Cricetulus griseus: one gene and its partners. The main gene of each other region encodes a partner of the protein of the gene in region 4 in a complex. Links are inferred from orthologs where the notes say so. Each region holds a gene or a part of one and is shown on either strand. Other genes may lie near its edges.

The links.
Region 1: Dhx16 (region 4) and Snrnp40 share a complex: the UniProt entries of both Homo sapiens proteins name them as parts of the minor spliceosome. The link is inferred for Cricetulus griseus from reciprocal best matches to the Homo sapiens genes DHX16 and SNRNP40.
Region 2: Dhx16 (region 4) and Eftud2 share a complex: the UniProt entries of both Homo sapiens proteins name them as parts of the minor spliceosome. The link is inferred for Cricetulus griseus from reciprocal best matches to the Homo sapiens genes DHX16 and EFTUD2.
Region 3: Dhx16 (region 4) and Rbm48 share a complex: the UniProt entries of both Homo sapiens proteins name them as parts of the minor spliceosome. The link is inferred for Cricetulus griseus from reciprocal best matches to the Homo sapiens genes DHX16 and RBM48.
Region 5: Dhx16 (region 4) and Plrg1 share a complex: the UniProt entries of both Homo sapiens proteins name them as parts of the minor spliceosome. The link is inferred for Cricetulus griseus from reciprocal best matches to the Homo sapiens genes DHX16 and PLRG1.
Region 6: Dhx16 (region 4) and Ppil2 share a complex: the UniProt entries of both Homo sapiens proteins name them as parts of the minor spliceosome. The link is inferred for Cricetulus griseus from reciprocal best matches to the Homo sapiens genes DHX16 and PPIL2.
Region 7: Dhx16 (region 4) and Cwc22 share a complex: the UniProt entries of both Homo sapiens proteins name them as parts of the minor spliceosome. The link is inferred for Cricetulus griseus from reciprocal best matches to the Homo sapiens genes DHX16 and CWC22.

What each region holds. Positions count from the first base shown.
Region 1 is NC_048595.1:22,665,048-22,668,952, forward strand, and holds part of Snrnp40 (U5 small nuclear ribonucleoprotein 40 kDa protein), read right to left. Parts: intron 3,658-3,905; coding exon 3,575-3,657; intron 2,204-3,574; coding exon 2,142-2,203; intron 739-2,141; exon of another isoform or gene 606-738; intron 1-605. UniProt on the Homo sapiens protein: Required for pre-mRNA splicing as component of the activated spliceosome. Component of the U5 small nuclear ribonucleoprotein (snRNP) complex and the U4/U6-U5 tri-snRNP complex, building blocks of the spliceosome.
Region 2 is NC_048600.1:115,260,644-115,264,548, reverse strand, and holds part of Eftud2 (116 kDa U5 small nuclear ribonucleoprotein component), read right to left. Parts: intron 2,527-3,905; coding exon 2,360-2,526; intron 1-2,359. UniProt on the Homo sapiens protein: Required for pre-mRNA splicing as component of the spliceosome, including pre-catalytic, catalytic and post-catalytic spliceosomal complexes. Component of the U5 snRNP and the U4/U6-U5 tri-snRNP complex, a building block of the spliceosome.
Region 3 is NW_023276806.1:221,964,962-221,969,383, forward strand, and holds the start of Rbm48 (RNA-binding protein 48), read right to left. Parts: upstream 3,005-4,422; 5' UTR 2,958-3,004; coding exon 2,847-2,957; intron 1,940-2,846; coding exon 1,749-1,939; intron 1-1,748. Other genes in the region: Pex1 (peroxisome biogenesis factor 1), read left to right, coding at 3,287-3,415. UniProt on the Homo sapiens protein: As a component of the minor spliceosome, involved in the splicing of U12-type introns in pre-mRNAs.
Region 4 is NW_023276806.1:229,782,350-229,786,984, reverse strand, and holds the start of Dhx16 (pre-mRNA-splicing factor ATP-dependent RNA helicase DHX16), read right to left. Parts: upstream 2,890-4,635; 5' UTR 2,716-2,889; coding exon 2,509-2,715; intron 1,260-2,508; coding exon 1,015-1,259; intron 911-1,014; coding exon 745-910; intron 295-744; coding exon 238-294; intron 1-237. UniProt on the Homo sapiens protein: Required for pre-mRNA splicing as a component of the spliceosome. Contributes to pre-mRNA splicing after spliceosome formation and prior to the first transesterification reaction.
Region 5 is NW_023276806.1:71,283,813-71,288,310, forward strand, and holds the start of Plrg1 (pleiotropic regulator 1), read right to left. Parts: upstream 2,977-4,498; 5' UTR 2,832-2,976; coding exon 2,823-2,831; intron 1,297-2,822; coding exon 1,190-1,296; intron 1-1,189. UniProt on the Homo sapiens protein: Involved in pre-mRNA splicing as component of the spliceosome. Component of the PRP19-CDC5L complex that forms an integral part of the spliceosome and is required for activating pre-mRNA splicing.
Region 6 is NC_048597.1:72,241,691-72,245,595, reverse strand, and holds part of Ppil2 (RING-type E3 ubiquitin-protein ligase PPIL2), read right to left. Parts: intron 3,765-3,905; coding exon 3,647-3,764; intron 342-3,646; coding exon 285-341; intron 1-284. UniProt on the Homo sapiens protein: Has a ubiquitin-protein ligase activity acting as an E3 ubiquitin protein ligase or as an ubiquitin-ubiquitin ligase promoting elongation of ubiquitin chains on substrates.
Region 7 is NC_048599.1:97,150,159-97,154,063, reverse strand, and holds part of Cwc22 (pre-mRNA-splicing factor CWC22 homolog), read right to left. Parts: intron 3,538-3,905; coding exon 3,470-3,537; intron 2,523-3,469; coding exon 2,412-2,522; intron 1,694-2,411; coding exon 1,451-1,693; intron 1-1,450. UniProt on the Homo sapiens protein: Required for pre-mRNA splicing as component of the spliceosome. As a component of the minor spliceosome, involved in the splicing of U12-type introns in pre-mRNAs. Promotes exon-junction complex (EJC) assembly.

The DNA of each region.
Region 1 (3,905 bases), on a different chromosome or scaffold from region 4:
ACCACGGTGGATAGTTGGAGAAAAGACCTAGATGAATTTATTTTTATAAATCTTTCAAAAAACGATAAATTTAAAACAATTTAAAAAAGATGCAATTATATAGGGGAGATATACCATCTCTATGGAAAATGATATAAAACTACTAAGAATGCTTTCCACTCGGTGAGAATGCAAACTCCTTTGTGTGTTTTTGTTTTAAAAGACAGAGTCTCGGACTGGAGAGATGGCTCAGAGGTTAAGAGCACTGACTGTTCTTCCAGAGGTCCTGAGTTCAATTCCCAGCACCACATGGTGGCTCACAACCATCCGTTATGAGATCTGGTGCCCTCTTCTGGTGTGTAGATATACATGGAAGCAGGATGTTGTATACATAATAAATAAATAAAACCTTAAAAAAAAAAAAGCCCACCAAAGCATTGGCATATAAATAAATATTGGCAATAAATAAATAAAATCTTAAAAAAAAAAAGACAGTCTCACTATACAGTCCAGAGTGGCCTCAAACTCTGACCTTTGCCTTAGTTTCCTGAGTGCTGGGTTACAGGCAAACAAACACCAGGAAAGTCTCCCTGGTCTATTTCCTAAGTTTCTGTTTGTCTGTTTTTTAATGTGCTCTAGGTATGAAACAGCTTTGGCCACCAAGCCAGGCATCAAACTAGGATGAACAAAGGATTACCATTTGCTTTGTCCCTAGCTGATAAAAGAATAACACCAACAAGGTGCCAAGGGGTAGGGGTGGGGTTAAATTTTCTTTTTCTCAATAGAAAATCTCTTAAACTCTTAAAGGTAGGCTTTCTAAGCTTCTGAGAGGCAAACCATCAATATAGCACTGTTTCCTTTAGGTAACCACTTGTCCCAGCCTGAATACTTGTCCAATTTTCCTGACATTAAACTTGTTTGGTAGAAAAAAGGACATAAAATTTTCCAAGCATAAGCCAGGTGTAGTGGTACACATCTTTCAAACCCAAGTATTTGGGAGGCAGAGGCAGATACATCGTTGTGAGTTCAAGGTCATCCTGGTCTACAGAGTGAGTTCCAGGACAGCCAGAGCTATATATGGAGATCATGTCCTGAAAACAAAACAAAACAGTTTTCAAGCATGTCCCCAAAGAGAATCCTGAAGTGTGCTAAAAGCTATGAGCTAGGGAGCAACCTGGTTTACAGGCCTCTACCACTGGGTCTCCAGGAGTCCCCATAAGCCCATTGTCCTTGGCCCCCAGAATCCCTACTGCACCCAATTTCCTCCCTAGTACATGAACAACAGCATCTGATGGGTATATTTTCTCCCTTGTCTCTCACTCACAACACAAGGCCTTGAACCAGCTTAAGTTTGCACATAAGAAAGCCTTGGCCTATTTGGCACAACAGACGACATGCAGCCCACTTCACTCAGCAATGCTGGCACTTTCTACTGAGCCCAGACCTGGCTCTGAATCATCTTCAACACTGGCAGCTACAACCCAATTTTGGGTTGACACAAAGGGTGGAATTTGACTGCCATCTCTGACCTAGGAATTCATTCTCATAATTGTTAGCAAGTGATTATAACAATTCAAGCATCAACTAGCAGTACCTGAGTTTACAGAGAATGTCAAGATGCACCCCCTGACTGCTGAGAGCAATTCATAGGGATATCCCAATATGCTTGTCTAAACGTACGAGGGGGAAATGCTAATAAAAGTTAGACATATGAAGTGTGACTACAGCAAAGAGCAATGTGCTATGTTAAGGAGACAAAGGGGGAGAGAGTACCAGGGAAAGGTCAGATATAGCAGTCGTTACTAGGAAGACCCAGAGTCTTAGAGTAGAGAGGGAGGTCTGAGAGGGAACCCGGGGTGAGTGAGGATGCGCAAGGGAGGTTGACAGTTCCTTGAGAGTGCAGCACTGGGATGGCCAGAGAGGACAGTCTCAAATGTATCGAATGGAGTAAAGCATGGCAAAAGACCAGGACAGCTGGGAGATTATGAGTTTCCAACAGATTACAACAGTCTAAAATGGAAACAGAGACAGACAACTCTGTTCAACACAGGCTTTAAGTCCTTCAGATGGCATCAAATATGTCTGTTGTCTTCATATCCCTGCATTAAATGTGAGACCTGAATAGCCACATCATTCTCTACCTTATACCCAGGAACCCATACCTGTCTGCTGAGCCAGCAGCTATCTTGCTTCCATCAGGTGACCAAGAACACCGGAGGAGGTTCTGTAATGAGCAGGAATGTACAGGACAGTTAATATGCCAAATTGCTCTTGCTGTACTAGGAGTCAACTGACTAAATTTTCTAGGAGACTGAGTGTCTCCCCAGAATAAACATCAGCTAATATAGCCCTGCTCAAAACAGCATGCTCTAGGCTGGGCGGTGGTGGCACACACCTTTCATCCCAGCACTCAGGAGGCAGAGGCAGATGGATCTCTGTGAGTTCGAGACCAGCCTGGTCTACAAGAGCTAGTTCCAGGACAGCCTCCAAAGCCACAGAGAAACCCTGTCTCAAAAACAAAACAAAACAAAACAAACCCACAAACAACAACAAAAACAAAAAAACCTCTCAGCATGCTCTATAATTTTACTTATTTTCCTTTAAATATTTATCTGTTATTTTATGTGTATTATTTTAGGTGTTTTGTCTGCAGGTATGTCTGGTGTGCCTGATGACTGAGGAAGCCAGAAGAGGTCGAATCCCCTGGGACTGGGGTTAAAGACAACGGTGAGCTGCCATGCAGTTGTCAGGAACCAAAGTCAGGTCCTCTGCAGGAGCAGCCAGTGCTCTCATCTGCTGAGCCAACTCTCCAGCCCACTTTGTAACTTTATACTACACAAAAACTAGATTCAGAAATGCTAACCCTAGTTATCAAGAACAAGCCCCACAACAAGACTTGGCTCCCTTTGCTCCACTTCTCTTGATCCTCATTACAACATTTAAAAATTTTATCCTATTTTTTTGTTTTTATTCTTTATTGCTTTATCTTGAAGAAAAACAAACAAAAAAAAAAAACGCCAAACCCAACAAAAGTAAGATTTGATTTATAAGGCAAAACAATCTCAGGGAACTCTCAAAAGAAAATCATTAATCTCTCTTAAATTCAATGACAGAAGAATCCTTTCCAAAAGAGCTGACTGGACACGTGAGGGTTTCAGAAAAACTCTCTTGAACTCAGGCCATTGTGATAACAAGAGGAATGGGTGTAGACCCAGGACTCTAAGAGCTGGCATCTGGGTAACAGCGATGTGAGCCCAGGGCCCACAGATACTGATTTACAGGGTTGAGATTCCAAGGAATAAAAAGCCAGGCTTGCCCTGTTAGGGAGGTACTGAAGTCAGAAGTCTTACCAAAGAGGACTGGCCCCAGTGCTATCTATCCGTGTGGCTGCCTTGTCCAACATGGGTGGGGACATGCTCCTGGGATCTGAGCACACGGGAGGCAGGAGCAGGAGAGAGGGCAGCTTCAATGATGCTGGTTACCAGACTTCACTCATTCTCAGTGGGTCAACAATTCTCTATCCTTAGTATCACTATAAAAGTTTCTTCAGATCAAATGGATAGTAAAATCATCCCCCGTGGCAGGTACCACTCACCTTTTCAAAGTTGTGCACATTTCCTTGAAATATCTTCACACATCTCTCTTTGGGAGCAAAGGGCCGGACATCCCAGACTCGCACTACAAAGCAAATCCAAACCAGTCAAGCAACAAACACAACTATGAGCCAGCAGCTTCCATGTCAGTAACAAATACTGTCTCCTTCATGAGGAGGACCAATACAACACAATACTAATTGCTAAGGCTCTTTTTAATCCCCCCTTTCTTTCTTTCTTTTTTTTTAAAAGATTTTATTTATTATGTATACAACATTCTGCTTCCATGTATATCTGCACACCAGAAGAGGGCACCAGATCTCATAACGGATG
Region 2 (3,905 bases), on a different chromosome or scaffold from region 4:
TTCTTAGATTTGCCAAAAGCCTGGTCAAGAATGTGACATGATAAAGTTGTTCCCTCACTCCCAGTAACAAGCTGATGTCCCAGAGCTGGGACCCTCTGCAGTCTTGAAAAAGCTAACTACACAGGACAGACAAGGGGAAACCAGAAGGACAGAGATAAAGACTTGGGAACATAAATGAATCTAATGTGACCAGAGAGGGACACATTTAGGAGACATCACTGCCCCAATACAAATGGGCATATAAAGGGCTGGGCCAGCTTGCCCAGCACTCACGAGGCCCTGGGTTTGAACCCCAGTACCACATGAACTAGATATGACAGCTTAGGGCAGGAAGATCAGAAGTTCCAGGTCATCCTTGGCTCTGTAGAAGTTCCAGGCTAGCCTGAGCTATAGCAGACCCTGTCTAGGGGTGGGGGACATGCAGGTAAGGACAGGACAGATAAACAACACTGAGAAAAAAGAGAAACGGCAGATTTGCTCCTCTTCGCTGTCACTCTCTTTACTCTGTTTGGCTTCTTGTTTCAAAAATTCTGAAACTTTCATTTCACTATTTTGCAGAGTGCATAACCCAGACCCTGCATATAGTAGCAAGTGCTCTCGGATGGAGCTACACCCCAGACCTAAACTTTGCAAACAACTTGAGTCATTCGGAAGGCCAGGAGTGGAGGCACTGGCCTGTAATCCCAGCATTTGGAAGGCTGAGGCAGGAGGCCCAGGGGCTTAAGGAGTTAGATGGCCTGTGCTGGGTTCTCCAGACTCACAGAATACCATATCCTACAGCAACTGTGCTAACATAGGCCTCAAAGCAACTTACATGTGTAATTCTAACTAAATCTTCCATCTTCTTATGAAGCAGATGCTTGCAGAACACACAGTAAAGTTTCTTCATTTACACACCCTGTGTTATCAGTAAGACAGAGCAGCCAACATCACTCAGCAGCAGGTGCCATATGGCAAGGGAGCTGTACCAACTAGCTACTTAATTTCTTTTAACATCCCAATAGGCAATTCATTTGCTTAGTTAAAAAAAAAGTTCTGCTGACTCATTTATTGATTGTATGTGTGTATGGCATGTATGTGTGGGGTGTCTATAGAGGTCAGAGTGTGGGGTCCGTTCCGTCCTTCCATCTTTATGTAGGTTCTGGGGATTGAATACAGGCAGTTAGGCTTGTGCAAGTCCTTCATCTGCTCAGCCATCACGTTGGCCCTCTTTGTTTTATGAGATAGTGCCTCACTCTGTAGCCCATGTTGACCTCAAACTCATAGTAACTCTCCTGCCTCAGCTCCTGAGTGTCAGGATTATTGGGGTGGACCATTATGCCCATCTTATTTTTTTTTAATTAAATTTAATTATTTTTGTGTATGTGGGTACACACACCCACAGAGACCAGAGGTTGACACCGAGTGTCATTTTTTATTATTATTCTCCACTTTGATCTTTGAGTCAGGTTCTTTCACTGAACCTGGAGCTCATCAATTGGCCAGACTGCCTAGCCACGTGGTTTCCCTGTCTCCACCACACTGTGCTGGATCACAGATGGGAGGTACCATCCTAGCTTGTTCTATGGATTTTAGGGACCTGAACTCAGGTCTTCATGAAGCAATCACTTTACTCACCAAGCCATCTACTCAGCCCTAATGTGAGTTGTTGAGATAGGGCCCCTCCATGGTCCTCATGCCAACCTAGAACTTGCTATGTACTCCAAACTAGCTTCAAACTTCTAATCCTCCTGCCTTGACCTCCTAAGTGCTGGGACCATCGGCATATGCCACCACACTGTATCCGGGGTTGTTTGTTTGTTTGTTTGTTTGTTTAATAGAAGCAAAAATGACCTTTGGGGGCTGAAGAGAAGGCTCAGCAGGTAGAGCAGCACATTGCTCTTGCACAGGACCTGGGCTCAGTTCCCAGCACCCACATGGAGACTCACAGCTCTCCTTAACTTTAGCTTTAAGGAATCTACTGTTTTCTTCCGACTAGTGTAGGTACCAGACATGTACACGGTGTACAAACATATGTGCAGCTAAACATCCAGATATCTAAATAAACAGGTAAGTAAATAATGAGCTTTGGTAATCGCCAACTTCACATGGCTGGCAGGTGGTAAAGGTGAGACTGCTTTAGAGTCTACTGACTACAGAACCAGGGATGTGCTAAACCGCGTGGCTGGTTCAGACACTGAACTGCTGAGGAGAGGCTTGCAGGCAGTCCTGCAGAGACCCGACATGTGCTGTTAGAACTGACAGGATCACCCACATGCCACAAAGTGAGGGACTCCCAGAAGTCTTCAAGGGTAAAATTAAGATTTATAAAAGCCAGACTCTCCTAAGGACAGGAAGTCCACTCCCAGGGGTCTTATACCTTATTAATCCATTGACCTCATCCACAATGTGTCGAAGTTTGTAATAAGCATCTGTTGGAGGCAGCTTCAGCTCCAAGATCAGCCGGTCGATTTTGTTGATGCACACGGTGACTGCTAACCTCTCCTGCACTGCATGCTTAATCAGCCGCTCTGTGTTCAGCATCACCTGAGAAACACAGGGCTCTGAAGCGGGAAGTGGGTACTAAGAGTAGAGAGCACATCTATAGTAGGGGGGAAGGCGACATTCGCAACACTTTCTGTACAAAGGGGAAATGGCCTGGGCGTGAAGTGTCAGCTGGAAGCATCATCCGCAAGGCAGACTCGGGGCTGTGAAGCTGAGCACAGCTAGGTAATACCCACCCACACGTCTGTCACTCTTCTGCACACAGGTGTTGAAAATGTCACTTGTTCAAACTGAGTGTCGCTTTGTCTGTCTGAAATCACGACACACGGGAAGTAAGGGGATTGCTAAAAGTTTGAGGCAGGCTAGGGCTACAACCCAAGACCTTACCTCAAAAAAATAAAACAACAATAACAAATAAGAAAATGGCTTGTTTTCTTATTTGTTATTGAATAAGGCACCTTAATTTCTTTTGAAGGGGGCACCTACACCTTAATTTCTTTTGAAGGGGGCACCTACACAGCAAGACTAAAAAGCAAATAAACACAACGGCCATGCTGGGACCAAAGCTTCTCAGCACTGAGAACGCTAGGAAGAACTTACTGATGAGGAAGTATTAAAATGAATGCTGTGACCCACCTCCAGCCCCTTGTCAGTGATCCTAAGGAATAAACCCAGAGCCTTGGACATTTGAGGAATGCTGCCCCTGAGCTAAATCCCTTCCCTGTTTTAGTCTCTTCTGAACCAGGGTGTCACTACCTTGCTCAAGCTAGTCTCAAATTTGCTGTTTTTCTGCCTTGGCCTCCACAGTAGTTAGGATGATAGGGTATATGCCACCATGCCTGGCCGAACAAGCCATTTTCTTATTTGTTATTGTTGTTTTATTTTTTTGAGGTAAGGTCTTGGGTTGTAGCCCTAGCCTGCCTCAAACTTTTAGCAATCCCCTTACTTCCCGTGTGTCGTGATTTCAGACAGACAAAGCGACACTCAGTTTGAACAAGTGACATTTTCAACACCTGTGTGCAGAAGAGTGACAGACGTGTGGGTGGGTATTACCTAGCTGTGCTCAGTGAATGGGCCTGGAGGCAAAGCATCAAAGCAGCAATGAACACCCCCAGATAGTGGTCTCCACTATATAGGAAGCCAGAGCTTGTTGAAGAAATGGCTGGTTTTACGACTAGGGTAGGGCAAGTGTGTAAGAAAATAAGCAAGAACTCAAAACATGATGAGGTAGGTCAAAAGGACGAAAGAGCCAGTTACAAAGAACTCTTGATAGTCAGAGATGAGTCAACTAGACCATCAAGATATATGAGAATACGCTGTGTGTGGTGCACACCTCTAATCCTAGCATTTGGGAGGCAGAGGCAGGCAGATCTCTGAGTTCCAGGTCAACCTGGGCTACATAATGAGATTTCTTCTTCTTT
Region 3 (4,422 bases), about 7.8 Mb from region 4:
TACCCCATGCAATGCCATATACCTCATAACCAACTTACAATAAAACCAAGGCACCAGGAAATTTATAACCGGGCCATGTTCCTACATTCATCTATAAGACTAGGATTCAGTTGGGATGTCTGACTCCATAGTCAACTGTATCAGGTCCTGTGGAAATACAAAAGCACACTAGTCCATATGCCTTCCTAACCATGAAGAGTTGGCCAACTGGAGAGAAAGGCACACAGCCCTTTGAAGTCAAATGCTTTAGTGGTGGGCTAAGTAGCATATAAAAGAAATATGAGGGGCTGGAGAGATGGTTTGGTGATAAGAGCACTTGCTGATCTTGCAGAAGAGCAGATTCAAATCCCATCACCTACCTTGGGTGGCTCACAACCCCCTGTACTCCAGCTCCAGGGAATCTGAAGCCGTTTTCTACTATGAAGTTACATCAATAGCAAAAGTCAGACAAAGATACACTTTAAATCAGGTTACTAATTAAAAAGAAAAAAAAATGGCTGACATGAACTAGGGAGAGTGCTCAGTCACAAAAGCACTTGCATAAGCTCAGTGCCTAGGTTGGAATCCCTGGCATCCACATAAAAGCTGGGCACTGCTGTATGCCTACAATCCTGGTGCTGGCAAGGGCGAGGTACAAGGATCACTGGTACTTGACAGTCAACCAGTCTAGCTGATGAGCTCCAAATTCAGTGAGAGATCCTGTCTCAAATAAATAAATGAATAAAACAGAGCGCAGTGTGGTGGCACATGCCTTTAAACCTAGTAGAGTCAGAAGGAAATTTAAATTTTAAGTTTTAAGTTTAGCCTGGTCTACCTAGCTAGTTCTAGGCTAGCCAGGACTACACATTAAAACTTGTCTCAAATAAATAAATAAATAAAAGTTGGAACACTGAAGAAGGCAATCAACATTGACCTCTAGCCCCCCCCACACACACACACTCACACTCCTTCCCCCCAAAATAAAGCATTGTTGACTTCACCTTATTGGAATACAAGAATTATGTCATATGTAAGTATTAAAAAGAAGGTGATTAGCATAGAACTTTAACAATAAGAACTGCCATTGCTAATATTTACTCCTAATAGGGAGTACATAAATTATTTCATTTCATCCACAGTCAGGGAACCTCAAGAAGCAGACCTTTTTGCTGTGTGGATTTTAAGAAGAAGAAAAATGTGCTTATCAGGATTTAAAACACTACCAAGTAATGAGGACATAGGGCTGGAAATTTGCTTCAAATGTAATTCTGAATCTACCGTACTACTGGTTCAAAAACTGTGAAGCACAGATATGAGACGATGGAAACAGCTTTGTATTTGTAAAGTCAGCCTTTTAAAAAAAATTTTAAAGATTTTATTTATTTATTATGTATACAGTCATGTGCCTGCATGCCAGCAGAGGGAACCAGATCTCATTCAAGGTGGTTGTGAACCTCCATGTGGTTGCTGGGAATTGAACTCAGGACCTCTGGTGGTGATAAACACCTTTAATCCCAGCATTGGAGATGCAGAAGCAGGCTCTCTCAGCTTGAGGCCCGCCTGGTTCCACAGAGTGAGCTCCAGGGCAGCCAGAGCTATGCAGAGACCCTGTCACGACCCTCTAAAACAAACAAAAACAAACAAACAAACAAACGGGAAGATCTAGGGTGATGAGTGTTTGTGTGACATGGATATGTCTGGGAAAACCCCAGGGCCGAAATGACAGCAACAGGAACACAGGGTATAGCTACTGCTTAATTTGTACACACCTTGCACTTTGTAATTTCACAAACTTGATGAGATAAACTTCTGTAAAATCTTCTGCTGGGTATTCATCTAGAGCGTTATACTGTTCAATCGCACCGTATAGAGCAAATCGCTCGACTAATTCCTTCATGGCTCCCACTGCAGGGACTCCCTGTATTAATAAGTACTGGGATTCCAAATTGATTGTGTATACCTAAAAAACAACAACAACAAAAAACCCTCAATCAATAAATGTACCTCGCAGACAAGCAAGCCTATGGCAAATCTGTCGCTCTGGGAGGAGGAGGAGGAGGAGGAGGAGGAGGAGGAGGAGGAGGAGGAGGAGGAGGAGGAGGAAGAAGAAGAAGGAAGAAGAAGAAGAAGAAGAAGGAAGAAGAAGGAAGAAGAAGGAAGAAGAAGAAGAAGAAGAAGAAGAAGAAGAAGAAAGAAAGAAGAAGAAGAAGAAGAAGAAGAAGAAGAAGAAGAAGGAAGAAGAAGAAGAAGAAGAAGAAGAAGAAGAAGAAGAAGAAGAAGAAGAAGAAGAAGAAGAAGAAGAAGAAGAAGAAGAAGAAGAAGAAGAAGAAGAAGAAGAAGAAGAAGAAGAAGAAGAAGAAGAAGAAGAAGAAGAAGAAGAAGAAGAAGAAAAGAAGAAGAAGAAAAAAAGAAGAAGAAAAGAAGAAGAAGAAGAAGAAAAAAAGGAGCTTTGAAAGCAAGAAGAAGAAGAAGAAGAAGAAAAGAAGAAGAAGAAGAAGAAAAAAAGAAGAAGAAAAGAAGAAGAAGAAGAAGAAGAAAAAAAGGAGCTTTGAAAGCAAGAAGAAATACTCTGGTCAATTCCGCCTGTAAACACACACGCAGAACTGTCGCTCCCGGCTAACGGCTAACACAGGCCCCCTGAGGGCGCCTGGCTACCCCAGTCAGCGGGCGCCAGTGCGCGCGCTGAGGAAGCGCTCCTGTCAGCTCGACGGCGCGGAGCGGCGAGGAGCGCAGCGCTGACCTCCGGTCGGTCCCGGGGCCTCCCGCGGGGAGAGACCCCTCTGTGGCGGCGTCCCCGTCAGGCCCTCCTCACCAAGGCCGCCCCCGCCCGGGGGCCTGGGAACGCGAGGAAACCGCAGCCGCCCTACCTTGACGGCGCGAGGGCGTCGGCCCTCCCGGTACCTGGCCCGCGAGTCACACACGGCCGTCTGCACGTGGTGATCGAAAACGCTCCCCGGCTTCCCGTCACTGGACGCCATGCTGCCAGCGGCGACCCCCAGCGCCACAACAACATCCGCCGGACGCGCTCCTCCTCCTCCGTGGCCAATGAGAGGGCAGGGTGGCTGGCGCGTGCTTGGATTGGCCGGGCAATCGACGCCATCGACGATCGTTTCCTGGGAGCGCGAACTCGGTCCTCCGTGTGCCGCCCCCTCGCGTCTCGGAGGAGCGACGGGAGGGTGACGCCGGCGGGGCCGGCGACGAGGGGGCGGGGCCGATCGAGCGGCCGATCGAGCGCCAGCCCCGGGCTCCGGCGGACGCCGCGACCTGCGCGGGAAGCGGGCGGGCTCGGGGGAGCGGGGCCGGGACGATGTGGAGCGGCGATCGCTCGGCGGCTGCGGGCTCGGGCGGGGCGGTCGTGACGGTGGCCTTCACGAACGCTCGGGACTGCTTCCTCCGCCTGCCGCGGCGCCTCGTGGCCCAGCTGCACCTGCTGCAGGTAACGCGCTGTCCGGGTGGGGGCCGGGCGCCGCCGGGGTCCGCCCGGGCCGGGCCTGGTCCGTCCCCGACGGCGCGGAGCGTGTGAGCGCCCCCCCCCCCCCCGCGGCGCTGCACCCACCCCCTGCGCGGCTCGGGCGGCCCCGGCCCCGGCCCCGGGCTTCCCTCCCAGCCCTCCGCCGCAGCTCGGGTAAAGCAGACTGAAAAGTCTGGGATTCTTTGCGAAGCAGCCTCGCTCTCGGCTGCAGAGCTCTAGAGGTCTCCGACCCACGGGCTTTCGGAAAGCGTCGTCCTGCCACAGAGGCCTCCTTCCAGCCGCTGTGTAGATTACGGAGGTTTCCAGTTCGTGCCCAAGAAGGTTAATAGGACGGCAGCTCTCCCGGCTTAGGAGAGAACTACGCAGGGGTGTGCGGGGAGGGGAGGAGCAGGCGATGGAATTATTCACACCTCACACCTTTACACAGGGGTAACAGGATTACTGGAACCTCAGCGAACTGTCACTGTCCGGATGCCGTCATTATGGTGTTCCAAGGTGGAAATACAGCACGCGGATTTTCTTAACCAAGAGTGAGAGGCAAATAGGTTCTCATGGGGGGGGGGGGAATCGAAAATTAGAATATTTGAAATCTTCTAAAATCTGGCATGCTGCCAGACTACTGGTTCATCAAAGAGGTATCCAAGAGTTTGAAATGACTTCAAGTAGTTCAACTTTCTTTCCTCTTGAGCTGCTTCTATCTTGCTGTTAAAATCCACCTATCAAAACACATCAATTTCATCAGAATCAGTTTTATTGTTAGTTTATCTTACCAAATAGACTTTCTTTTTTTTAACTGTCTGATGAGCTTTCTTGGAAAGAAATCAGTCACTGTCACCAAGTTCCAGCTTGGCTCATTACCCTTTGTCCTGTTTGTTAGTTAGTTAGTTTGTTTTTTTATTGAGACAGCGTTTCTCTGTGTAACAGTCCTTGGCTGTCCTGGAACTCGATTCGTAGACCAGACTAGCCCGGAA
Region 4 (4,635 bases):
TTCCCGCCATGGCCAACCGCTCCATCAATCTTTCTTTTGTCGACATTTATTATGTATGCAGTGTTCTGCCTGCATGTGTCCCTGCAGGCCAGAAAGAGGGCACCAGATCTCATTACAGGTGGTTGTGAGCCACCTTGTTTTGGTGGGAATTGAACTCAGGCCCTCTGGAGGACCAGCTTGATCTCTAAGCCATCTCTCTCCAGCCCTGGATCTTGCTTCTTGAACCCGGGGTCTCACCATGGCTTTCCGGTCTTCCTCAGCCATCTTGAGGCGTTTCTGAGCCTCTTCATAAGCCTGGGTAGAAGAAATCAGGTAAATAGGGTCATGAGGCCCAAAAGATATGCACATCTACGACCATTCCCCTCAGAATGACAAATGTCCTTCACTGCCCCTTCTCAGTGAAGAGCCTCTGTGATTTCCACCAAGCAGTGAGGCCCTTAACCAGAAAGCTCACAGGACCCTGTTTCCCCACACAGGAACCCTAGCGACAACCCTTGTCTTCCCAGCGACACCTCTGCAACCAAATCCAGATGTACCTAGCAATGTTCTTCACCTTTTTTTTTTTTTTTTTAAGATTTTATTTGTTATGTATACAGCCTTCTGCCTGCAGGCCAGCAGAGGGCACCAGATCTCACTCAAGGTGGTTTGAGCCACCTTGTGGTTGCTGGGAATTGAACTCAGGACCTCTGGAGGACCAGTCAGTGCTCTTAACCTCTGAGCCATCTCTCCAGCCCTGTTCTTCACCTTCTTATCTGATCGCTCCAGGACATTCCGGGTCCGGTCCTTGTCCCTCTGCCGCACCCGCTCTGCAAACGCATCCCGTTCCTCCAAGTCCTGAAGACGCTCGCGCTCTGTCCGCTCCCACTCATCCTCTGAGGCCGGCTTCTCCTCCGTGGGTGACTTACTGTCCCTGAACCCAGCCCAGCGCATCATCAAAGAGGGGTATCGAGAAAGCGTATCATCCCCACGGCCAACCACCTGCCCCGGCTCCCTCTCTCCTCGGTTCTGACTTACCCCGTCTTCCTCTTCCCTGCCTCAGAAACCTCTTCCTCGTCCTCTTCCTCCTCCTCGTGGTGTTTCTTCCTGAGGTGTTTCCGTCTTTTCCGCTTCTTCTGGAGGCTGCTCGAATCGCTGCCCACCGCTTCCTCCCCGCTCTCGCTGTCTTCCAGCAACTTATAAGATCGGTTCTTCTCCAGCAGGGCTCGGGCCTCTCGCTCAGCTGCCCGAGCTGGCTTTTCTACCACAGCCTTCCGTGGTACCTGTGAGTCGGAAACAAGCGGTTGTGAGCAGCTCCTGCCTCAGCCTCGAGCTCAAACCAGGCGTCATCATTCTCTGCTCAATCGGGCCCTCAGCGTCTGAACTTCCTTCCATGCATCTGTTTAGCAAATGATTATTGAAAACTACCCGATGGTGGAGGGCGCGACCCAGCACCCACAGGTTGCCCTCGGACATCCACCCACAAATGGATTTTTTTTTTTCTTTTGGTTTTTTGAGACAGGGTTTCTCTGTGGCTTTGGAGGCTGTCCTGGAACACTAGCTCTTGTAGACCAGGCTGGTCTCGAACTCACAGGCCTGCCTCTGCCTCCCGAGTGCTGGGATTAAAGGCGTGCGTCACCACCGCCCGGCCAAACGGATATTTTTTAAATGATTTATTTTTTATGTGCATGTGTTTTGCCTGCATTGTGTCTATGTGAGGGTGTTGGATCCCCTGGAACTGGAGTGACAGACAGTTGTGAGCCGCCTTGCGGGTGCTTGGAATTGAATCAGAGACCTCTGGAAGAGCAGCCAGTGACCTTAATCTCTGGGCCATCTCTCTAGCCCCACAACAGAATTTAAAAAAAAAAAAAAAAGGCCCAGAGTTCAAGTAGTTTACATTCTACAACCCAGTTCCCTTTTCACATTTATCTTTTATTTATTTACGTGTATGGGTACCTGTGTGCCACAAGAGACCTGGATGCTGGGAACTTCAGTCCTCCCGAAGAGCAACAAGGGTTCTCTCCGGGTCTCCATCCTATGTCTAAATCGCTAATTCCCACGGCTCCACTGTTCTCAGCGACTTTCCCCCAGTACTTGGGACTGAACCCCAAACTTACTGTACGCTAGACAAGCACTCTACCAACTGAGATACGTCCTCAGCCCTGGGGGGGGGGGGGCTGCACTGTATTCACCGTGGCTAACAGGACCCTAGGTTTAAGCATGCTTGCACAGCCCTCTCTGCTAAGTCTCCTCCACAGCTCTGTACCTGGGGTAACAGAGGGCAAAAGGTGGATGTTTGGCAGAGCCGGGCGGGAGTGCTAGGTCTCTCTGCTATGGGAGGCGCTCTCTGTCTCTCCGTCTTTCTCTCTCTGTGTGTCTCTGCAAGTTCGAAGCCAGCCCGTGCACTACACTGAAAGTTGCAGGCTATCCTCCGATACACTGCTAGCTTACGCTCCATCACCAGGCCAAAGACGAGCGTGCGTGCGTGCGTGCGTGGAGCGGTCTACATCAGCTCGGGTGGACGGCACACACCTTGCTCCAGAGCCTGAGCGCGAAGTCCCGCGCCGGCCCGCCAAGGTCCAGAGTTTCGGTGTCTCGCAGCCGCTGCACGAACTCCTCGGCCGAGGCGCAGCGCTGCGCGGTGCCGATCAGGAACTGCGCGACGTGCCGCTCGCTCAGCCCCAGCACCGAGTGCAGCTCCTCCTGCACCCACCGCTCCAGCCCCGCCGGCGTCGCCATGGCGACGCGTCCCGCTCCGGGCGCGCAGCCGCCGAGCCAGCCAGGGCGGCGGCGGGGCCGGGAGCGATCTGCAGCGCCGCGGGCCCCGCACCGCTGGTGGCCGTAGAGTCTCCCAGCGCAGAGCGCCGGACTGGGCAGCCCTCAACTGGCTTCCAGACCCGCCAAACCCGGAAAGAGTCGAGCTCTTCCGGCCGCAGCTTAACGGTGGCTGGGAGGGTTCAAGTCGCGCAGCCTCTTTCCCGATGCTCACCCAGCAAGCTCGCCCGCCCCCACCCGGTGATGTTGCGCTCGGTCAGCACCAGCCCTGTGTACTAGAAAGAGCGTTTCCAGAGAGTGCGATAAAAGGAAGAGAAATAAGGTTTAGGAAACAAGGCATAGAACAAGGTGCTGGGGATATTGCTCAGAGAACTCGAGTTCGATTCCCCCAGCACCCATATTGCTCAAAACCAACGATTCGTAACTCCAGCTCCAGGGGGAATCCAACGCCAAACACACACACACACACACACACACACACACACACACACACACACACACACACACACACACACCACACACACACACACACACACACACACACACACACACACACACACACACACACACACACACACACACACACACACACACACACACACACACACACACACACACACACACACACACACACACACACACACACACGGTTTTTCGAGACAGGGTTTCTCTGTGGCTTTTGGAGGCTGTCCTGGAACTCACTCTTATAGACCAGGCTGGTCTCAAACTCACAGAGATCCACCTGTCTCTGTTGGGATTAAAGGCGTGCTCCACCACCTCCCGGCAATTAAAACTATTTTTAAAAAGTAATTTAAAGCTACTTACTAGAAATATGTATGTTGGGCGGGAGTTCCGGTATCTTAAGATTTTTTTCTCGCCGGTCGTTGGCGGTGCACCCCTTTAATCCCAGCAGAGGCAGGGGGATCTCTGTGAGTTCCAGGCCAGCCTGGTCTCCAGAGCGAGTGCCAGCATAGGCTCCAAAACTACACAAGAAACCCTGTCTCTAAAAACCAAAATAAATAAATAAATAAAAGATTTTTTTCTCTTTTTTATTATTAATTTACTTTTTATATTCCGATCCCAGTTCCCCCTCCCTCCTTTCCACCCCTCCCTCCACTCCCCCTCCTCCCATCTGCTCCACAGAGAGGGTGAGGCCTCCCCAGGGAGGTCTACTAAGTCTGTCCCATCATCTCACTGAGGCAGGACCAAGGCGCCTCTCCAGCCCCACACCCCTGTGTCTAGGCTTGGCAAGGTATCTCTCCACGTAGGATGGGCTCCACTAAGTCAGTTTGTGCATTAGAGTTAGATCTTGGACCCACTGCCAGTGGCCTCATATATTGTCCCAGTCACACCATTGTCACCTATGATAAGGGAGTCTAGTTTGGTCTTATGCAGGTTCCCTAAGATTTTTTTTTTTAATTATTTATGTGCATGCGTGCTTGCCTTCGTATCGGCACCATGTATGTGGAAAAGTGCCTTTAGATCCGGGATGTGGTGCCTCTCCACAGCTGCAGTTAAAGACGATTGAGAGCCTGAGTTACCTGATGTGGATTCTGGGAACCAAAACCAGGTCCTCTGTAGGAACAGCGGGTGCTCCTAACCACTGACCGTCTCTGCAGCCCTTCTTTCTGTTTTTTGTTTATGTATCTATAAACATTTTACTTGCGAGTATGTACAGCACCCAGAAGCCTCAAGAGGGCACTGGATATCCTGAAACGGTAGTAATAGGGGAGCCATTCATCGTGCTGGGTGTTGAAACGGGGTCCTCTGCAAGAGCAACAAGTGCTCTTCATTGCTAAGCTGTCTCTCCAGCCACCTCTCTCCCCCCAACCCCTTTTCTTTGTTTTGAGTCAGGGTCTCACACGCATTAGCTGGCCTTGTATA
Region 5 (4,498 bases), about 160 Mb from region 4:
TAGATTAAATATAAATAAAATGAGGGGGATCAAGTAGATTACAAAAGAAAAAGCAAAGGACAAAGAAGGGTACTACAAACAACACAATCCCAGAGTAAGGCTGGTGACAACCAAAATATGCTCAAAAGTCTTCATTCTACTAAGGAGTAAAGATGGGAGTAGGTACTGGGCAAGTACAATTTCAGCTCATCAAGGCTCCAGAGCAAGAAGCTGAAAACTCAAAGTGATTCATTAAAAATAAAATAACCTAACAGGAATGCTCTGAATTACTGGGTAACATAGTTACTTTTCTACTTCGGTGGCAAAACACCATAACCAAGGTAATTTACATACCAAGTATTTAATCTGGGGATCATAATTCAAGAGGGTTAGTCTTTGAGCATCATACTGGGGTGCATAAGACGACAGGTAGGCATGTTGCTGGAGCACAGCTAAGAGCTTCTATCTGATTCACAAGCATGGGTGTTGGGGGAGCAAGAGCATGCTAACTGGGAATGGTGTGGGCTTTTGAAATATCACAGCCGACCCCAGTGACATACTTCTAACCCTTCTGAAACAGTTCTACCCACTACAGACCAAGCATTCAAATACATGAGCCTATTAGGGCTGTTCTCCTTAAAACCATTACAGTGGGCATTTCTATGACTAGCTAATGGTATTTTTACTGTAAACGATAAAACAAGGGACTGGAGAGATGGCTCAGCGGTTAAGAGCACTGACTGTTCTTCCAGAGGTCCTGAGTTCAATTCCCAGCAACCATATGGTGGCTCACAACCATCTGTAATGAGATCTAAGGTGATCTCATTACAGATCTAAGGTGATCTAAGAGGGCACATCTAAGGTGCCCACTACTGGCATGTAGGCAGAAGACTGTATACATAATAAGTAAGTAAAATCTTTAAAAAAAAAAAAAAAGATAAAATAGAAAAATAACAAGTAAACTCTACTGATATTATGACTAAAAGCCACTTGCCCAAGTATCCTATGAGTGTCAGTACCACTTTAAGACCTTTGAAAGTTACCCTCTCTCTCTCTCTCTCTCTCTCTCTCTCTCTCTCTCTCTCTCTCTCTCTCAAAAAAAAAAACAACAACAACAACAACAAACGGTCACCTTCTCTCTGCGCTATTCTACCACTATTAAAAGTTCAAAGTTCAAATATTTTACTACTAAAAAGGAATAAAAACTTGCCTCTCTTCATCCAAAGGCACAGGTTTTCCATTATCAGATACAAACATGTCATGGGTCCTCTTCAATGACCTGAACACCAGTGTGTGTACAGAATGTTTCTGCACCTCCTGTAAAGAAACAACCAAAATCACACATCCAACTGCAAGTGAAGCACACATTCTTATCCACACTAGAATGGTTATGTTAAATACACAGAAGGATGTACACTCCACACAAATCTGTAACAAAGTACAGCAGTCAACAACAAAGATGAGAAGGCTCCTGTCTGGCTGGAGCTTTGGGCAAAGCAAGTGAATGAAGCCTAGGATAGTAATTTGTTTAATCAACATTTACTGAGCTCGTGCTGTAACTGGCATGTAGTGTGCTCAAGAAATAACAGTCAAAAATAAGGAAAACAATTCCACATTTTGGGAGGCTCTATGAAAACAGGTAATGGGATGAGTCACAGAAAAAATAGAAATGATAATTATGAAAGATTTATATGAGGTGGTATTTAAACAGAAAGGGAGACAGTCTTACACGGAACAGAGGTATGAACCATGCAAACTGAGGGAAAACGCCACTGCAAAGGTGTTCAAATAATGCCAGAACTGCAGCACAGTTGTGAAAGCTGTGGGATTTGGGGCTGTAGTACAAAATGAGGCTTCAAGGACAGGCAGTGGTGGCACATGCCTTTAATCCCAGCACTCATGAGGCTGAGGCAGGTGAGCTTGAGGCCAGGCTGGTCTACAAAACGAATGCAAGTAAGCCAGGGCTACACAGAGAAACCCTATCTCCAATCCCTCTCCCTAAAATGAGGCATCAAGGGCCGGTGAGGTTCAGACTGCTGTCACCACCTACATTTTTATTTTAGTAATACTGAACCAGAAAGGAGGTTTAAGCAGGAAAAGCAGGACCAATTCATATTTTATTTACGCTTGTGGTACTGGAGACAGAATTCAGCGCCTTGCGCATGCTAGACAAGCGAACCACACACTCCTTCAGTGTGTTCGCTAAGCACCAGCCCTTAGACCAGCTAGAAGCTAATTCATCAGTCCCAGCAAAAGATGCTGGGCTAGATTAGGAAGACTGCAGGGGAGCTGAAATGCAGTGGGTGAAATTAAGAAACGCTTGGGATATGCAAAAAAAAAACAAACAGAAAATTAAGAAGGGCAAGCTTTAGCCGGGCGTTCGTGGCTCACGCCTTTATTCCCAGCACTCGGGAGGCAGAGGCAGGCGGATCTCTGTGAGTTCGAGGCCAGCCTGGTCTCCAGAGCGAGTGCCAGGATAGTCTCCAAAGCTACACAGAGAAACCCTGTCTCGAAAAACCAAAGAGAAGAAGGGCAAGCTTTACTCCAGTAGAACCTAAGTAACAGTAACTGACAAGAGCTTGGACCAGCATCCCATCCACGGAAGGCCCGCCTCCGAGGACAGCGCCAGCTCCCAGGGACACACAGGGACTTCAAGGTTCTCTCAGGCTTCCCGCCGACCGAACCTCGGATTCGAAATGTCATTGGCCTTTCTCTCGCCCCGAAATCCCGGGACCACCAACCTTGGCTAAAGCTCCTTTCCCTATTTTCCCAGCACGTTCACCCTGCACGTTCGTGGGCAAAGCAAAGCTCCAGAGATAAACGACCCCCAGGCGTTACTTTACCTCCACCATGTCGCCCCGGGTTAGCTCACTCCTCCAGCAGGGAAGAAACTCAAATGATGGACGCAGAAATCGCCGCCACTATTCTGCAGCTCCTTCCGGAGATTGGGGGTCTGTCGGCGGATGTGACGCCACCCGCGCACGCGCATTGGCCACCCTCGCGCGGAGAGGGGAGAGGGGCGTTGTCTTAGAGGTCGAGGGCAGGACTTGGCGGAGTTGAGTGGAGCTTCGAGTCTGAGAGCCCAATCTTAAATTCCGCCGGGAGGAGCTGGGCGGGGCTTAGGCGGGAATGGGCGGAGTCTCCAGGCGGAGGGGCGGGTCTCGCAGAAGCTGGAGCTCCTGCAGGAGCAGGGCGGGAGCAGAGGGAGCGCGGTAGCCTTAAGCCCTGCTTAGGGGCGGTACCTGTTCCCGGAAGCTTAATGCTTATTAATAACAAGGAGATCCTAAGCAGTTTTTAAAAAACGATAGAGAACTTTTTATTTTATTGCGCCTGATGCTAAAGTATTGAAGTTTTGTCTTTTACCCAGGTAAAATGTTGTTCTGTGTAAAAATATTTGATGTAGTTTGTATTTGCGGTTTTTTTTTTTTTTTTTTTTCCAGACAGGGTTTCTCTGTGTAGCTTTGGAGCCTATCCTGGCAGTCGCTCTGGAGACCAGGCTGGCCTCGAACTCACAGAGATCCGCCTGCCTCTGCCTTCCTAGTGCTGGAATTAAAGGCGTGCGCCACCAACGCCCGGCTAAAGGGCCACATCTTGGAAAGGAAAGGAAAGGAAAGGAAAGGAAAGGAAAGGAAAGGAAAGGAAAGGAAAGGAAAGGAAAGGAAAGGAAAGGAAAGGAAAGGAAAGGAAAGGAAAGGAAAGGAAAGGAAAGGAAAGGAAAAAGGAAGGAAGGAGTCCCTGCACTAGCTAACATCGTGAGCTGCCTCTTGTGAACAGTAGATGTCACTATGGCTCTTCATAAGGGTGAAAAGGATTTTTTTCCCCCCTTTGAGGAAACATGACAAATTACTTATGAATATAAATATGAATGCTGCATTTGTATGTGTGAAAGCAATCATGCAGATTTTTAGGAAATCCCTTCCTCATTAACCAAGCTATTCTCACTCAACAATAAAAATCTTTTTATCTTCCTTCAAATAGTGTACCCTTTGCTGTTGACCAATGATAAAGGTAAAGTGGGACCAGGTATTATGGGAAGGACCTGTGGGCCTAACAGATTTAACTGGAGAATCAAATGATTAAGCAGAGAAATGCTATCACTCTTGAACATCAGTGGCTGAGTGTTCTCTCTACGGTGCTGCCATGAATGTAAAATCAAGCCAATGGACCTGATGCTCTACTTACTTCCTTTGCAGATTTCAAATTGCTTAAGAGTCTGATAGGGCTAGCATGGGGTAAGGATAGCATGCTCACTCTTGGTCACCTGTAGTGTCATCATCCTGACACTGTAGTCCCACTCTGGCACTCCAAAGACAACCACCAAACTTTTGTGTTTCTAGTCTCAAGATAAAAGCAGCCCAGGAACATCTTGTTCTTGCTATGACTCCTGTGCTCTGTAGCTGATCAGAAAAGAAAATGCCCTGTTGTTTCTGCTGCTCATGTGTCTTATCAGCTACACGCTCAAGGGAAGCTGACATTACTAGGTCAACAAAAGAGAGCCTGTCCAAAGACACAGTGACCT
Region 6 (3,905 bases), on a different chromosome or scaffold from region 4:
CATAACTTTGTAACTGAATCATCATCACAGAGTGTGTCCTTTAGGAAAATCTGCTGACCCTCAGACTATGGGCTGAGGAGAAAGGGGAATGTGCTTCAGACACCCAAAAAGGTGCCCTGAGAAGGAAGAGGAGCTAGAGCCGCCTGGGCCTCCTCTCCTTGGCTCCACAGGCCTGAAGAGCCAACCTTCCTCCACAGAAATACCCACAGTCCTCACCGGGGACTGCATGAGGATAATCCCCAGGTCCACACTGCACTGCGAACATGCACAGCATCTGCTCTTACCGTCCGAAGATAGTGTGCTTCTTATCCAGGTAAGCACAGGAGCGAAATGTGATGAAGCTGGGGAAAGCACATGGAGGTCAGGGAAGCAGCAGGCTGGGCCACCCAGCATACTCTAGTTGTAACAACGACTGCTCCTCAGTGGAAGCCACCTGCCCTTTCCCAAGTAAATCCAGACCTCTGGAGAAATCCCAGAGCTCGGCTGCCAACATCCCATGAGAGCCAAGCAGGAGACAGTGGAGGCTTGAGCTCGCTATCCAACTATCTTCAGGAGGCAATGGTTAGGGGTGAAGTAAACAGGCCATGTATGTGCAGCCTGGAGGGAGCCCTAGACTATAGCCTATAAGTGGGTGACAGCAGAACGCTGGAAGACATCAGACAAAAGGAGGAAAGTACAGCTGGGTGTGGTGTGGGGACTCACAGTGAGCCCTCATCCCTGAATAAAATAAATACTATGGAAAGCAGGAAGTTTATGGGATGGGTTGCAGTGCAGTCCCTACACAAAGTGGTACATGAACTCAGCCCTATTGTGACAACAGGACACAAGCCTCATCCTGACAGCCCACAGAGACCCTTCAGTGAGTAATGAAGATGCATCACCCTGCAAGCAAGGGCACTCCTAAGGTCACCAGGCAAGTCATGGAGCCCACACCTATGCACAGTCTAAGCCTTCACACTAGCTGAACTCCTGTTATTGCCATTGGAACAAGGGCTCATTGGCTATGCTATGGAACCAAGGATGACTGAATTGATCAGACCTAGCTCTCTTGAATTTCTAACATAATAAAGGAAGCTAGAAAAAGAATGAAATGAACCTGGAAAAAAAAAAAAAGAGGCAAGTAAAAAAACAACAAAAATGCAACTGGAATATTTAGGTTTTGTTCAAGTTTTTGAAGAGACTGTAAGGAAATGCTGACAAAGGAAAGCTGTCACATGTCCTGGAGAAAGGGCTCAGCAAACAAAAGTGAGCGCAGCTCTTTCAGGGTACAAACTCAGCCCGTGCCAAAAGAAAATGACTCTACGTGCACACCTCTCCTAGCCATACAAAGCAGCAACAGCTCAGTCACATGACTAGAGACAGATTTAAAAACTAGACCTCTGACAACAGAGCCACCTATCCTGACAAATGTTAGACTACAAAATCACATTTCATTTGGAGCAGGACACACATGTGCCTACCTCCAACACCCAGTGACAATGTGACTGATGTGCACATGGGAAGTTGAAGATGTCTCCTCTTCTGATAAGTTCAAAAATCTACAAAGAAACTCTTCATATAAACTTAGGAGAAATGACTCTGCAATTAAAAGCACTGGCTGCTCTTCCAGGACAAGAGTTCTATTCCCAGTACTTACACTCACAATCACCTATAACTTCAGTTCCAGGGACCAGGCCCTCTTCTGTCCTCCTCTGGCATCAGGCACAAACTTACATGCAGTATACAGACATACACGTAGGCAAAACACCCATACACATTAAAAAAATTTGGTTTTGTTTTTCAAGATAGAGTTTCTCTGTGTAGCTTTGGAGCCTTTCCTTGAACTCACTCTGTAGACCAGGCTGGCCTTGAACTCACAGAGATCCGCCTGTCTCTGCCTCCCAGATGCTAGGATAAAAGGCATGTGCCACCACCGCCTGGCTAAAAAATTTTCTTAATTTTTTTTTTTTTTTAAGATTTGATTGTAGGGGCTGGAGAGCTGGCTCAGCAGTTAAAGAGCACTAACTACTCTTCTGGAGGACCCAGATTCAATGCCAGCACCCACATGGCAACTCACAACTGTCTGTAACTCAAGATCCAACACCGATACCCTCGTACAGACATACAAGCAGGCAAGACACCAATGCATATTAAAAAAATTAAAAAAGAGGATTTGACTAGCTGTGTGATGGCCCACACCTGCAATGTCAGTACTCCAAGGCAGAGTTCTAGTACAACCAACCAGGGCTACATAATGAAACTTTGTATCAATATAAGTTGGCATGGTGGCCCACACCTTTCATCCCAGCACTCAGGAGGCAGAGGCAGGAGACTCTGAGAGTTTGAGGCCAGTCTGGTCTACAGAGGAGTTACAGGACAGCCACGGCTACACAGAAAAACCCTGCCTTGAAAAAAAAAAAAAAAAATCAACAAATACTAAAATTCCTTTGTATAACATTATCCAGGAAGTCAGAAGATCCACATAAAGAAAATGACAAAACTGAGCTGACAAGCTGGCTTGGCATGTGAAGACACCTGCTGTGTTAGGCCTGGCAGCCTGGATGTGATGACTGGATGCCATGGTGGAAGGACAGTCCTGACCCTACAAAGCTGTCATCTGACCTCCACACGCACACTGTGGCATGAATACCCTCACATAAAATAAGCTGTAATCAGCTGTGATGGGGCATGGTTTTGTCTTTTTTTAAATGATAGCCACCTTTAAAGATACCTTTCATAAACAAGATAGTTAAAGAAGAAATGGACAGAACATTTTTTAAAGATTTTTTTTTATTATTATTTTATGTGCATTGTCTGTGTGAGGGTGTCAGATTCCCTGGAACTGGAGTTATAGAAAGTAGTGAGCTGCCATGTGGGTGCTGGGAATTGAATCCACATCCTCTGGAAGAACAGCCAGTGCTCTTAACCACTGAGCTATCTTTCCAGTCCTGATGGTGAAAGTTTTTAAACACAGCACCCAGTATACAGAGACAGGCAGAAACCAGCCTGGTGTACACAGTGAGTTCCACAAGAACCAGGACTACATAATGAGAACCGGTTTCAAAATATTTTTTAAAAAAGAAAATAACAAAACTATACTCCATAGATAAAAGATATACCCTGGATGGAGACAGTTCTCAATGGTAGAACATGTATTTAGCATGCACAAAGCCTTGGGTTCACACCCCAGCACAAAAAAGAAAAAAAAAAAGACATATCCAGGAGAATTAAGCCACATTATTTGATTAAGATTTGATGAAGAATAGAATACAATACAAACCTATTCCAAAACACAAGACCAGACATCCAAGAGCCTTACCACCCACCACCACACACACTGGGCTCTGATAAGCCAGAGCCTTAGTACCTCTTCCTGGCCTTTTGTCCTCAGAATACCTCCTCCCAAAGCACTGGACCAGCAACCTTGCATGGCACCTGGTACCCACACACTCCTGGTTTTCCTGTTGGACCCCAAGAGGCCTTTGGGAACCCACTCATGACCACTATTCTACCAGCTGACTTGGGCTCCTTTCCTGGAGACGCCTGTGCTCCACCTGACTGAACACCCCCTTGCTTGGATTTGACTTGGGCCCAGCACAACCTTTAGGGACAACGCCAGGCGCTTTGCAAACCATCCTAGCAGCTGAGCAAGAAAAGCTGGACTCACAACTGAGACTTGTTGGTGTTGGGCCCCGAGTTGGCCATGCTGAGCACTCCACGGCCTGTATGTGAGAGGTTGGGGCGGAACTCATCTTTGAAAGGCTTGCCCCAGTAGGACTCTCCACCTGGAACAGAAGAGCAGAGTCAGTGGTCAGCCACAGAGCCTTGTCCAGAAGCAGAAGACAGCGACCAGGCCCTGAGACACAATTCTTGATGACCCCTAGATCCTAGTGCCTTCCTCAAGCTGGAACTGCTCACTCACCCTG
Region 7 (3,905 bases), on a different chromosome or scaffold from region 4:
CTCTGAGTGTCTTCAGACATGAAATAACAAGAAGTGGTAGGAGGCCAAGTATTGATTTTAATTTCAAGTCGAATGGCCATAAACAGTATCTCACAGTAACAAATGGATTGGAAGTATACACTATAGTTATACTTCTAATAGAAAGAGATGCTAAAATTTAGTTGGGGATTAATAAAAATTAAATGCATTTCCCCAGTCCAGATTTGTGACCGGACTACCTGAATCCTCTCTAGGAACCTATAGAATCCCTGTGTAGCAGAGCAGTGTGAACAGTGCTTGGTGGATTATTAGGTCCCTGACACTGTTTAAAACTGCCAGTAAGCAATGAGGATAAGAGGCAGACTGACAGGCACATTTGCAAGTAATACTTTCTTGTTGCTTCAAAATTCTCTGTCAGTCAAGCTCATAACTGCTTACTGCACACACCTAGGTATCAGCCATATCTAGAGAAATATGTCTGTAACTTAGTAAGATATTGCAAGCATGTAAGCACAACCTCCTAGGAAACTGGAAAACATCAAGCACTATGGCTTTTCCTAACACAGGAGCTGTCCTTCCACCCTATCATGGGTCAACTCAAAGGAAAACCTACAGACTCCCCCTCCATTTCTACTGTACCTTCTGACCATGAACAGACCTCCACCATATATGAATTATCTCCTAGAACTGCTTAAAATCCCATATGTTGCTAACTCTTCCCCTGCCTATTGTACCTCTAGATGCAAGAATTCAATTAATAACATTTTTTTTCCTGACTGAATAATCTGCTTTGGACTGGATCAGGAAAAGTAAATACTTCTCACTAATTCTTCCAATGCTGCCTTTATGATGATGATGAAGTTTGCATTAATGGAAGTCATTGCTAAAACTCTCCCAAATATTACATCTCAAAGATCACTGTCAAGGACGGAAGTTCAATCTCCAAGTCCATGTAAAAAATGCCTGTCACACTGGTACACACTAGTAATAGATACGGCAATACAGAGACACGTGCATTTCTGGGGCTTGCTGGCCTGCCAGCCTAACCTATTTGGCAAGTTTCAGGCCACTGAGAAACCCACTCTCCAAAAAGTAAGTAAATAAATAAAAGACAGTGCCTGAGAACTAATACTCAACACTCAAAGTCTCTCTCTCTCTCTCTCTCTCTCTCCCTCCCTCCCTCCCCTCCCTCCCTCCCTCTCTCTCTCTCTCTCACACACACACACACACACACACACACACACAGAGGAGAGAGAGAGAGAGAAACATAAAAAAGTTATGAATTAATATCAGAGCAACTAGCGTACAATGTTCAAAAGAAATTTCTGAAGTCAAAAAGACAAGATATTGTAATTTGTGGTCTCTATCACAGTAAACCGAGTACATTCTTAACAGCTGACACTAATTACACTACTCTACCCCTTGTTCAATGAGGCTATCTCTGTTTTGGAGATGCAGTACATCACCATGCCTGTTTTTGTCTGTGATCTGCTCCTGCATCATCCTGAGCTTTGCGGGAGGAATATATGCTCCCCCAGTTCGGGTGAGCAGCGGATCCTGCTCATCTTTCTTCTTCTTCATGCTAGGTTCCTCCTGAGTAGAACTCTGGGTTACTGCTCGTTCTGGGCTCCTTCTTCCAGGAGATGGAGATTTCCGAGACCTTTTCCGATCCACATCTCTTTCTCTTTCTCTTCGTTTTTCTCGGTCTCGACTTCTGTAAAATGGGGTGGGGGGGGGTGGACAAAGCATAAAATCATTCTTACAATGAACTACACATAGAATGAGTAAGACCACAGAAAATGAAACTGGTTCAGAGTGGTGAAGTAACACCTTACAGAGAAAAAGATCCCTTATTCCAGGGCTCAAGGCTTTATATAAGCTTTAGTCTGGAAGCTGGTTAGAGGAAGGATGACAATTGGGCAGGGGTGGTGCCCGCCTATCATCCTAGCACTGAGGAGGCAAAGGCAGGTTGATCTCTGTGAGTTCAAGGCCAGCCTGGTTTACAGAGAGGGTTCCAGGATAGGCCAGAGCTACACAGAGAAACCCTGCTGAAAAACCAAAATGAGAAGGATAACAATCTTTAACAATAATATGTACTGCAAAACTGAACATGGACATCAAGACCAGGATAACGCTGTTAAGAAATAGTGAATCCAGCATGCCCATAGTTGAAAGAAATGAGTTTGCTATAGTCTTCGTTTCTATTACACAAGTAAAGGAAACTCAGGCTGCGGAGTAACTTAACAGAGTACATACTAACATGTACAAAATCAGAGTCAGACCCCCAGCACTCAAACTGGGCTTGACAGTAATCCCGAAGCTCAGAAGGTAGACAGAAGTTGGATATGTGAGACTCAGTCTCCAAAACAAAACAAGTACCATGTACACGATGAAAAGTTTACTTTTCTGCAGTTAAGATCCCCAACACTCACCGTGACTCCACGCTGTCATCATAAGAATACCCTCTTCTTGAACGCTCATAGTCTGACCGGCTGTAATCAGAGTAATCTCTATCCCGGGGGGACCTTTCTTGTTCTGCATATCTAACAGAGAAGAAAACCCAAGTTGTTCATCGAAAACAACTTTGTTAGACTTGGAAAGTCAGATATTAGTGATGCCAAACAACGTACGACTGCACAACATCATAATGAAGTGCTTTAACTAATGGCTCATTGTGCTGGCACCTATCCAGTCTGAATTACAAAAGCTTCCAGCATGGACACAGCAAAAACGATGCCTGGAATTAACTTAACCCAATATACTCATCTTTATTCACACAGGGATAAATCTGGAAACTACACATATCGGGCAGCAAGAGGCTACTTTACAAATACCTCCTTGGAGCTACACTGAACAAATTAGACCAGCATCAATCACTGCTTGTTCTATTTGACTCTATTCCAAGCATTATAATTATTGAATGCTGTTCTGGAAGCTGCAGTGCTGGGAACATTGAATAGACAAACAAGATGGATCATGTTACATCTACAGTTTGACTCTTCAAACTCAATAAAGTCAGAGACCATTAAGGGAAGTTAAATATATAACCTACATGGTAATATAATTTGGGTTTTACAGATATATTTACAATTACCTTACACTTGTGTATGTCTGATGTGACTGGAGAGGGTAGTAAGTGGTCACAAGTTCCTAAGTGAAGGGCCTGGGAGACCCTGGCAGAGTGGAGTAGGAATGAAGTGCACAATTCCACTTTCGGAATTACTTTAATGGTCCTCACTTAGTAAGGGACACAGCTGTAGTGCTAATAAGAATGCATGATGCACATTACTGGTACTATTTCTAGATTGCTTATTTTATCATAATTATGCTATGATGTAAATAAAAATTTAGCTATAAAAAGCTGTGTGAATGTATCCATGAGCCAGAACAACAAAAGCAGCACTTCAATGTCCACCTTAAAATGAAGAATCAGAGAACTAAGTTTCTTGATGAAAACACAAAATTCACACTTGGCACACAGAGCAGTTACCTGTCTTCTGGAGAGGAGTTCCGGTGGTATGAATTGTGGCTCTCCCTTCTGTCGTGACCAGAGGAGTGCTTCCAAAGAGAAAAGAAGGAAGAAGGAATGCTTCAAAACTGATTATGTTAAAAATACATACATAATATCTGTCTCAGCAAATTAGCAGTACTTTAGAAATTACTTAAAATTTTTATCTCACATACTATCCTGTGAATGTCTATGATGTATGTGTGAGAGACTGTGGGCACACATGCTCCATGGCACACATGTGGAGGTCAAAAGACAATCTGGGAACCGATTCCCTCCTTTCATGAACTCCAGGGACTGAGCCCAGGCTGTCAGGCTTACATAGCATAGCAAGGCTTTCTGGCCCTCAAAACATTTTTTAACAAGACTAACTCATGTTATACTAACTCATGCTTAAAATCTGGGTTTCTAAATATTT